Tribolium castaneum: one gene and its partners. Each later gene encodes a partner of the first gene's protein in a complex. Links are inferred from orthologs where the notes say so. Each region holds a gene or a part of one and is shown in the gene's direction. Other genes may lie near its edges. The genes, in order: Tim10, Tim9a and Mulk.

What was found.
Region 2: the proteins of Tim10 (region 1) and Tim9a are in contact, whole or in part, in a crystal structure (PDB 2BSK), measured with the Homo sapiens proteins. The link is inferred for Tribolium castaneum from reciprocal best matches to the Homo sapiens genes TIMM10 and TIMM9. Residues at the interface, in NP_036588.1 of Homo sapiens: Glu16, Met17, Asp20, Met21, Arg24, Ala28, Cys29, Lys32, Cys50, Arg53, Cys54, Ser56, Lys57, Tyr58, Asp60, Ile61, His62, Arg64, Met65, Gly66, Lys68, Leu69, Leu72; in NP_001291414.1 of Homo sapiens: Lys15, Leu18, Gly19, Tyr21, Asn22, Lys23, Thr25, Glu26, Cys28, Phe29, Leu30, Val33, Asp35, Phe36, Thr37, Thr38, Arg39, Glu40, Val41, Glu45, Thr46, Glu50, Leu53, Leu57.
Region 3: the proteins of Tim10 (region 1) and Mulk are in contact, whole or in part, in a cryo-EM structure (PDB 7CGP), measured with the Homo sapiens proteins. The link is inferred for Tribolium castaneum from reciprocal best matches to the Homo sapiens genes TIMM10 and AGK. Residues at the interface, in NP_036588.1 of Homo sapiens: Glu40, Glu42, Leu43, Ser44, Lys45, Gly46, Ser48, Arg53; in NP_060708.1 of Homo sapiens: Phe49, Gly50, Asn51, Gln52, Leu53, Ile54, Pro55, Pro56, Val60, Ser91, Gly92, Met93, Asp94, Val95.

What each region holds. Positions count from the first base shown.
Region 1 is NC_087394.1:33,997,143-33,999,506, reverse strand, and holds Tim10 (mitochondrial import inner membrane translocase subunit Tim10), read left to right. Parts: upstream 1-1,291; 5' UTR 1,292-1,431; coding exon 1,432-1,686; 3' UTR 1,687-1,788; downstream 1,789-2,364. Other genes in the region: probable RNA-binding protein 19, read right to left, coding at 1,808-1,975, 2,023-2,131, 2,186-2,302, 2,355-2,364.
Region 2 is NC_087402.1:6,646,568-6,650,886, forward strand, and holds Tim9a (mitochondrial import inner membrane translocase subunit Tim9), read left to right. Parts: upstream 1-1,370; 5' UTR 1,371-2,165; intron 2,166-2,437; exon of another isoform or gene 2,438-2,797; intron 2,798-2,850; exon of another isoform or gene 2,851-3,318; intron 3,319-3,421; 5' UTR 3,422-3,450; coding exon 3,451-3,513; intron 3,514-3,561; coding exon 3,562-3,657; intron 3,658-3,673; exon of another isoform or gene 3,674-3,704; coding exon 3,705-3,842; 3' UTR 3,843-3,892; downstream 3,893-4,319. Other genes in the region: ras-related protein Rab-32, read right to left, coding at 3,893-4,041, 4,089-4,269, 4,318-4,319. UniProt on the Homo sapiens protein: Mitochondrial intermembrane chaperone that participates in the import and insertion of multi-pass transmembrane proteins into the mitochondrial inner membrane.
Region 3 is NC_087402.1:192,896-196,196, reverse strand, and holds Mulk (acylglycerol kinase, mitochondrial), read left to right. Parts: upstream 1-1,177; 5' UTR 1,178-1,204; coding exon 1,205-1,314; intron 1,315-1,333; coding exon of another isoform or gene 1,334-1,359; coding exon 1,360-1,706; intron 1,707-1,750; coding exon 1,751-2,147; intron 2,148-2,295; coding exon 2,296-2,671; 3' UTR 2,672-2,694; downstream 2,695-3,301. Other genes in the region: derriere protein, read right to left, coding at 1-111, 201-372, 419-796, 846-1,046; E3 ubiquitin-protein ligase TRIM33, read right to left, coding at 1,334-1,529. UniProt on the Homo sapiens protein: Lipid kinase that can phosphorylate both monoacylglycerol and diacylglycerol to form lysophosphatidic acid (LPA) and phosphatidic acid (PA), respectively. Does not phosphorylate sphingosine. Phosphorylates ceramide.

The sequences.
Region 1 (2,364 bases):
TTCGCCGTAATTGGCAGTTGAAAATTGGAAAAAATTGAAAATGGAAACTTTTTTTGGCGTTTTTCTCGGAAACTGTAAGACTTAGAGCAACGAACAAAAAACCATCTGATAGCGCTTAATTTTATCTATTTTTTCGACCAAACCCGGAGCCGCTCCGGGCAACGGTTCCGGCTACAGAGGCGATCAAAGTTTTTCACTAAAAAAATTCATAAAAAAAAAACTAAAAGTCGTAGAGAATTCCGGTTTGTTCCACTGAATTCTACGGCTCATTTTACATATTATATCGATTTTTCACAAGAATTAAAAATTTAAAATTTTTTGCCTAAATTTAGGGTAGCCATTTGTCATACTGAAAAATTTTATTCATTAAAAAAATTCATAACTCAAAAACTAAAAGTCGTAGAGCAATGCGGTTTGTTCCATTGAATTCAGCGGTTTATTTTCTGTATTATACCAACTTTTCACGAGATTTAAAATTTTAATTTTTTTGCCCAAATTTCCTGAGTAAAATACAGTACCTTCAAAAAGTTGAAAAAAAAAATTTTTTTAAACTAACTTCAGCAAATTTTTATGGACTTCTACATGTCTTAACAACCCACTAAAGTTGTTAAAAGTCCACAAAAAGTCCAAATGTTCGATTTTTTGATGTTTGATTTTTTCAATTTTCGTCGCAGTTTTTGTCGATTTTGGGTACCCGGAACATTTGTCGAGCAATAGCTCCGGAACTATTAGAGATAACCCCATGATGTGTATTATTGTTGGAAAGCTCTTTAAATTATCTATTTTTTTCAAAAAATATTATTGTTCTCCGACTAATAGTTTTCGAGCAAATTGCTGCTAAATGCAAAAATCAAATTTCAACTGACCAAGGGTTAGGGCAAACTAAAATAGATCTCTACTGTGATTTCTATTAGATTTGTTGTAAACCATCCCTTAAATAAATGGAAATCACGTGTAAACTAGACTTTTTGTGCTTCCATAACGCAACGAACGTACACGCAACGTAACCGCAAAAGTCCATGTGAGCATAACCACAATTTTAAAAATTCACGATTTTTGATATTTTTAACAACTCCTAGTTTGTTAAATAATGAGTTAAGGCATTGGTGGAAGTATGCGCTTAGGGACACATGCAAAAATAGGAATTGGATGGTAAGTTCCAAAAGTAGGCAACGACTGACCATAACCTCACTTTCGCACCGAAAAATCGTTTTATTGCAATAATTTGTCGGTTCGCAGGACCATATGTACAACGTTTGGTATTTACTTGTTCTACTTGTCCAAATCCAGTGTTGAGAAAAGGCGTTATGATAATATGAAAATAAGGGAACGCATGCGACTCTCGAACGTTGGTGATTACGAATTGGGTCCTCGTCACACTCCTCGAACTTAATTATCGTTAATAACGCGTCACATTTGCACGGAATTGAAATGGCAGAGAGTGACGCTCAAAAGTTGCAGTTGATGCAAGAATTGGAAATCGAAATGATGGCAGACATGTACAACCGTCTAACTACAGCATGCCACAAAAAGTGCATTCCTCCCGTTTACAACGACGCGGAAATTGCCAAAGGCGAAGCCGTTTGCATTGATAGATGTGTGGCCAAATTTCTAGACATCCATGAACGCATTGGCAAGAAACTTGGCCAACTTTCAATGCAAGACGAGCAACTTCTTAAGAAATAATTGGAGCGCCCCGTAGTTGGACTTAGTTATGTTTTGTTTTTGTTTGTAATTTAATTTTGTAATGTTGGTTTATTCTAGAGGTAATAAACTTGACTAGACAAAGTGTAGTTTTTATTTTTAATTAATCAATGCTTAAAACACTTTTCTTCGACTTGACTGCTTCAGTGGTTTGGAAGTGAGCCGCTGTTCGCTTCCTGATATCGTCCACACTGTCCTCACTTGAGGCCCACTCGAGAACTAGTCTCCGACCGTACAAGTGGGTACTTTGACACAAAGCCTCAAATGCATTCTAAAAAAATAATTATGCTAACAAGTTACAATTAATAATTAATTCACCTTGGCATCAGAGGCTGCCACAAAATCGACAAACGCAAAACCTCGATGTGAGCCCCCATCCAAGGCCATTTTCTTTGGGAGCCTTAACGCTTTAATTTCGCCAAAAACACTAAAACAATTAATTAAGTCATGTTAGTAGTACAATTAAATTTTAATAAAATGCCTAAAAAGTTCCCTAATTTCCTTCTGGTTAGCCTGGAATGGGATATTTCGAACCAAAATCTTGGTTCCTGTTTGTTTCGTTGCTTTGGTGCTTTTTTTAACAACTTTGACCTCGTTGCTAAAATTTAGTAAAATAAGATTAAGCGGAAATAAATTGGACAAGAACAAACTTCAACGTCC
Region 2 (4,319 bases), on another chromosome or scaffold:
ACAGTAACTATAAATAAAATAAACCACTCAAATAATTTATTGCCACGAAATTTTGCCTTTAATTTCAATGAATGAAAGTGGCTTGCTCAAAATTTAATGCAAATAAACATTTTTTTTGGTTTCATTTTTATTATTATTTTTTTTTGGTTTCATTTTTATTATTATTTTTTTTAATGCTACAAACGGTAGCCAACGTGGAAGCGATATGAAGGTAGGTGTATTTTATTGCTGTGTCGTATTTATTTATTTCACAAACCAATAATTTCATAAAACTTAATTGCAATTAAAATCTTTAAATGCGGTATTGAAAAGTGATGTTTTGAGTGACACATTTTAAATACAGTAACTATAAATAAAATAAACCACTCAAATAATTTATTGCCACGAAATTTTGCCTTTAATTTCAATGAATGAAAGTGGCTTGCTCAAAATTTAATGCAAATAAACATTTTATTTTGGTTTCATTTTTATTATTATTTTTTTTAATGCTACAAACAGTAGCCAACGCAGAAGCCATATGAAGGTAGGTGCATTTTTTTGCGTTTTATCTTGTGATGTGTTGATTTAATAGCTTGTGTGCCATATATTATACCGTATTGTGTATTCTTTATTCTGTATAATATTTATTAAAGTCGCTTGTTGTAACTTTCCTACAAATTAATTTTTTTGTTGGTTGTGTTTTTAATTTATTTTTTAGGTTTTGCTACAAATGGTAGCAGATGCAGTATAAAGGTAAGAGCATTTATTTAACGCCAAGTGAAAAAGCTTTGATTTTTGTGTACTATTTTTTCATTTCACAAACCAATAATTCCTTTATTCCCTTCATTTGAAGTAATCATTGTTTACCTCATCCTTATATCCATTTTTCCTGGCAAGAATGCTCTAAACCTCCACGTGGTTCTTGCCGGACAAATTAGTTATTGACTAATTTGACCAATTAGAGCAATCCTTAAATATAACATTGTTGACTGTTTTTTACAGCCGTAAAATTATGTCGCTTGTTGTAATTTTCATGCAAATAAAGATTTTTTATTGGTGTTGTTTTTAATTTTTTTTAATGCTACAAACGGTAGCCAACGTGGAAGCGATATGAAGGTAGGTGAAGGTGTCGTATTTATTTATTTCACTAACTAATAATTTCATAAAACTCAAATTTGTGAAATTTGTGACGTTTGTGAAATTTTTACTTGTCAGCCGCGCATCGGCACCACGTTTTTCTTCAATAATCTGAAATTTTAAATCCGCCAATAGGATTTTTTTTTCCCGTAAAACACTAAGGCCATCTATCCGCATCATCAGTAAAACCTAATTCAGTGAGCACAGCTTCCTTGATTAGTGAAGGGAGGTACCCTTTACACGGCTGGTCGCATTGAACAAAAAAAGTGTTTTTTGAGAGCTTACTTTATTGTAGCGCCATCTATTAGTTGCTGCTGAAAAATTCACTTGGTTTCAAACGTGACAGCCGTCATATTTTTTACAAATTTAAGTTTTCAACCTCTTTTGCACAAGATTTATACAAAATTTTGCTAACAGGAAGGCAAGACAAAGCTTAGTTTAATTTTTTTCCACAAGTTTTAATCTAAATTTGAAATGCAAAGCATTTGGACACTAATTACATTTTGTACAGTTGGTTGCAAATGCGTTCCAACACTCTTTTGATCATTTTCGTGAGCATAAAAATGTTTGTTTACCATTCGGCAAAATGTTCAAGTTTGTATGATGCTTTTTACGTTCGTTTTGTGTTTCGCAGTTCGCTCTTGGCATATGCTCTTGGTCGCTCACATGGCAACATGCGCTTTTGGTTCCTCATAGTAAAAACACGTGCCAAATGTTTGTAGAATACGTTTTCTACAACTATATAGCTAAAACTAATGCGTTTTGCCTTAGAAATCTTCTGCACTGACAGCAGTGTGACAACACTTAACCTTAGAACTGTCAGAATTGTTTTACTTTATAGTGGCTCCCTCTCAGAAACAAAAATATGCCAAGGAACTAAGCAATGCGGCCAGCCGTGTGAAGGGAAAGTCCCTTCATTAATCAAGGAAGCTGTGTCAGTGAGAGCTCGATTTGGCTATATCAGTTCGGGATGCCTGTGCAGTTTTCTCTTTTATCCACCTCTTGTCAAGTGACAATCACTGATTTGCATAACCTCACAAATTTACCTCGTGAAAACCATGGGGGTGAAAGTGGGATACGCGCATTGGCAACACGAGAGTATAGGCGAGGGGGGTTTTGCACTCCCGGGGAGATGAAAAGGGACGACCAATGACGACTGCTTATTTTAAAACAAGCGCGTATTTATTAGGGATTTCATTAAATTATATTTTTTGACGTAACAATGACATCTACGCTTGCGCGCAGATCGCACCGAAAATATCGCGCCAAAAGTGTTGTTTTGTCACTCATCGTTCAACGTGTTACCGGAAGTATGTAGCAATTATTTGTTTAATCGTTTAATCAAAGCAAAAATTCTGATTACAGTTCGTTAGTGAGTCAATTCCTGGTGTTGAGCGCCGACCAAAAAGATAAGTATCTCTTATTTTATTAATATAACCTCATCTTTTTGATTGGTGTTTCTTTCTATTTTAAAGGCATTGGTCTGGAGTGACGGATTTTTGATTTCTACTACTCAACTGAACTTTAGTCATGGCTGGTTATCGCAAATATTCCTGCAAATACCCCGGATGCACCAGTGATTATGTTCCCAACAAAGGACAGTCCAATAAGCATTTCTTCACCTTCCCTAAGAATCCAAAGCTTCAAGAATTGTGGAGGAATGCCTGCAAAATTGAGGATCCTGTAAGTTCAAAATTTTGGCGTTTTCGCTATTTAGGGTATTTCAGAATTTACTTTTAAGTTTCTTATTTGCGCTCGAGTGTGTCAGTGCACTGCATGTACCTCCTCGTGGTCGTAGCGTGGGCAACTGTTTGCTGACAGACAAGGTAAAAGTCATTGCAAAGCAGACCTTATTTTGTTTTAAGTCTCGAGCAGACAGGCAAAACATGCCAACACTGACTGATTTAATTTTTTTATAATTTTTGTATAATTAAGAAATAATACAATACTTTAATTTTTTGAAAAATTTAATTTGTTATGTTACTCAAGTGTACAATAAAAATGTTAACAAAATCTGTGTTTTATTACCCCAAAACAACTTTTTTTGTAAGTTTCATTTCAAATTTTGTTTAAAATAAATATAAAACGTTTTCATTTTGTTTAAAATGAAAATATATTTTTTTATTTTAAACAATTTGCAATGAAACTTGTAAGATAAAAATAATAAAAAACAATATAAAAGGAATTTATTCAAACGTGGCACTTTACCGTGGTAGTAACGCACTTCAGCACCAGAGGCGCTGGATTCTCGTGTTGCCAGTGATTTACTAGGGAATTATCACTTCTTAACCCTTTCTGTTCTGTGGTGAAAACCACAACAAAACTTAAATTAAAATGAATGTAACACTTCCCCCCGGTGCCGGGCTCGAAAATGTCGATGCAGAGCAAGTTAAAACGGTAATTTCAAAAAAACAACAATTTCAATTCTCAAATTTTTATTTGCAGTTCAAAGATTTCCTCATCTCTTACAATAAACTAGCCGAATTGTGTTTCACGGACTGTGTTTCGGATTTCACATCTCGGAATATCAAAGGGAGTGAAGTAAGTAACGACTGTCGGTTTCTGATCATTTTATTTTGCTATTACAGGATCGCTGTGCGTTAAATTGCCTCGAAAAATTTCTCAAAGTAAATCAACGCATTTCTCAACGATTCCAGGAGTTCCAAATGCTTGCGAATGAGAATGCAATCGCGGCGGCGCAAAAACTCGGCCAAAATCCGACCTGAACGATAATTTATTTGTGTTTGTTATTGTTAGTTTGTTACAAAATATAGCCTCATCTTTGACAACAGTGTGTTTGATTGTTTTGACAAAACTGAGTATCCTCATTTGCTAAATGGACCACGTCATTGTCTACGGCAGCGGGAAATTGCAAATTTTCGTGATTTTCCACTGCTGCATTTATCAGAGTCAACATTGCCTCATCTGCAATAAAAGATTACTTACCACGCTTGAATAACGCTTATTTTTACCTATGTGGACATTATCCTTCGCTGAAGTGATAAACCACGCTAATATGTTGTATTTCTCGCAGAAATGCACTATTTCTTGAGGCAGGGTTGCAATCGTAATATCACCCTTATTTGCTAGAATCACAACAGGTACGGGAACACCTCCCGGTAAGTGCACTTTTTTGCGCAGATCGAGCAACCACTAGACAAAAAACATGAGGAGAGAATTACAATTTAGGGGTTTTGGTACCT
Region 3 (3,301 bases), on another chromosome or scaffold:
CGTTATAACCAGCTGGTGATATAATAAATTTCATCCAGTTGAGTTTTTGGAAGTCGACGTATAAATCATGTCTTCTGCAAGCGTTACTTTCGGTAATTTCATCATTTGTTCCTACAATACAATAAACATACAGGGTTGGGCGAAAATATGGAGCCAAGTGTTTTGTGCCTAAATTATGTAACTTAGAAAAAATAACTTACCATCACTTCTCGGCGATTCTGATTTTAATATAAGAAAAGTCCTAAACGCGTTTCTATTACTGTCGTTAAAAAGATTAAATTGTTCGTCGTTTGGTTTCGAAATTGTGATAAATATCGACAAATCCGTTGTTTTTTTTATCCAATTATGCAACGATTTGGTTAATTTAAACACCTGGCGATGATTTAAGTGTTGAATGAAAATTCAATATAATTGTTACCTGCCAGCCACTTTCAGCTTGATAAATGTAAATCACATTGAGCAGTTTGTGTGAATCTGGATTTATCAAAGCCGTTTCATTGATATCATTTTCGACTTGATAAAGGCGCAAAATTAGCGATTTTTGTGTCAAATTGGCCTCAACTTTGTGGTAGAAATGTAACTCAACCTCCGCAACGTCCAATTTACTCGAATTAAATTTGATTATGGTTGAATTTAGCGGATTTGCGTTGAAGAGAATGTGAACAGGAGCTGCCACATTTTGCGAATATGCTTCGTAATATTTGTAAATGTATGATGGTAGTTTATTTCGGGTGATGTTGGTCCAATTGTAGTTCCATTCGGAGTCTAAAAGTGGGTGAATGTAGGGTTTAGTGCCCTAAAACAATTTTTTTTCTAATTTACTAGTACTACAACATTATTATTACATTCGTATTTGTGGCAGTTTTACGTGTGACGTTCCTATTATTCCTGAGTTCACTTATTTGAATTGCGGGATAATTCGTTTGATTAAAATTGACACGATTCCGAACCATGAACTCATTTGTAGTTTTATTCAAATTAAAATAATACGTTTTGGCTTCGATTTGGGCTAAAACAAGGAACAAGACCACAGTTATCAACCGCATTTTTCACACAAACTAAATAATTTACCAATTACGACGCCTAACAATCCAGGAAATTGCAAATTCTCTAATTTACGGCAATTTTCAAATTACGCGCCGTCTTGTCCTTGAACCATTCCATTAGTCAAATTTGAGGTTATGCTAATAAATTTAAACAAAACATGACTTTTGTACTAAAAACGGCAAAAACTTTACGCAATCATTGGAAGAAGTCAACGTTTGCAGCCGTGGCCCTACTGTACGGCTTTGAATACGCCAAGGAACGTTTCGAGTGAGTGACATAACCTCACATTAGCCCCCTCAAATTTTATGTTAGGACCCAAGAATTGATGCGTGTTTATTGCGAAAAGGCGGCAAGATTTGGTCTTGAACCAATTCGTGTGGAGGCTGACCCCCGTAACGTTACGGTAATTCTCAACCCCAATGCCAATAAGCGTAAAGCTGGTGATGAATTTGAGAAATATTGCGCCCCCCTGTTGCATTTGGCTGGAATTTGTGTCAATGTTGTTAGGACAGAGTCAGAGGGGCACGCCAGGACTCTTATCAATGATTTAAACGGGACTGATGCTGTGGTTGTGGCTGGGGGCGATGGGACTGTCTCTGAGGTGATAACGGGGCTTTTGAGGCGTACGCAGGAAAACACCAACGGTTTGATTCCAATAGGTTTGTGTTAGTGGGTTTTTGGTGAAAATAATAAAGGTTTGAAGGTGTCTTGCCTTTGGGTAAAACAAATTCTGTTGCTAAAATTTTGTTTCCTTGTGGGAGTCATTTGGAGAAGGTTCGCTCGTTGGCTGATGCCACAATGGCAGTTGTTGAAGAGGTTGTGAAACCTATTAATGTGTTAAAAGTTGAGGTGTTGGAAAATGAAAACAAACCGATTTATGCAGTTTCTGGGATCAAATGGGGGGCTTACAGAGACGCGGAAACTAAAAGAGACAGTTACTGGCTTTATGGCAAATTTCGTAATTATGTGACTTACTTATTTAACGGATTAAGAAATAACTTGTCTTGGAATTGTTCAGCTGAACTTAATTACACACCACCTTGTTCAGGTTGTTCAAATTGTGCGAAACAGTCACAACAACAAAAAAAGTGGTTCCAGAGGTAAGTGGCATTTGTAACTTATTACAAATAATAAAAAAAGTAATTGAATACAAAGTAATCAGATTATATTGTTATTACTTTAATTACATTATAATCTGATTAGACCCCACTTTGGTAAGTGGTACTTACTTTTTGTACAATTATTTAGATTTGCCAAAGACCAAAAGCCGGGTTTTTCGAATATTATTAATCCGGAATGTCAGATGATTTATCAAAAGTATATTTCAACGGTTGATTTTAATCTAGAAGTTGAAAGTGAACAAGTCCCGAAATTGGTGGTCAATGTTGGTCCGAAAAGTGTCAATTATTTCGATTTTGTTAAAGAAGGATGGAAGTCGGAAAAAGGAGAAAAAAGAAAAGTGAGGGAAATAATTGAGGCGAGATCTGTGGAAATTCAACCGAAAATCAATCAAAATGAGGAGAAATGGTTTTCCATTGATAATGAAAATTATGAGCTGAAACCGGTCAGAGTTACGCTATTACCGAAATTAATTAATGTGTTTTGTAAAAAAGAAAATTTGTAAATAAAATAATTAAACTGCCCAAATTGGTTTTCTTTTAACATTTACAAATCGTTAAAAATAAGGTTGAAAGCCGCCGTTTTGATGTAAATTTATTTAAATAACAAAGAAATTAGGAATTCATAGATCGCATAATTTTACACTATCATCATATTTTCTACATTGCTGAGAATCATTGCATTTTTTCCGTCAACTAAATCGTGAATGATTAATTGTAACTGCACATGACGTAAATAAATAAGTGTATCGATAAATACAGTTCTAGTGATTATTCATTAAGTTAAGTATTTACAAAACAACTCTCGAGTTGTTTTTCAGTGCGTTATCTTTAGTCAACCGTTTGCCAAATTATATAAAATCGTACTGAACAAACAACTCTCAAGCTTCATGTACAAACTGGTATTATATTTTGAACACATTTACCACTGTACTTGCGGTAGTGGATTGGTATGGCCCTGGCTTGGAAATTACTTTTTTTTTCTTTCTTCTTGAGGTATGTTTACAACCAAACGGAATCACTTGGTTCAATACTGCTGTACTAAATCTAGTTACACTTGATTGACAAAAAAATAAACTAAAAAACAAAACAAATGATCTGGTGTTAAACAACCAGAGCCAACTTGCATACAGTTA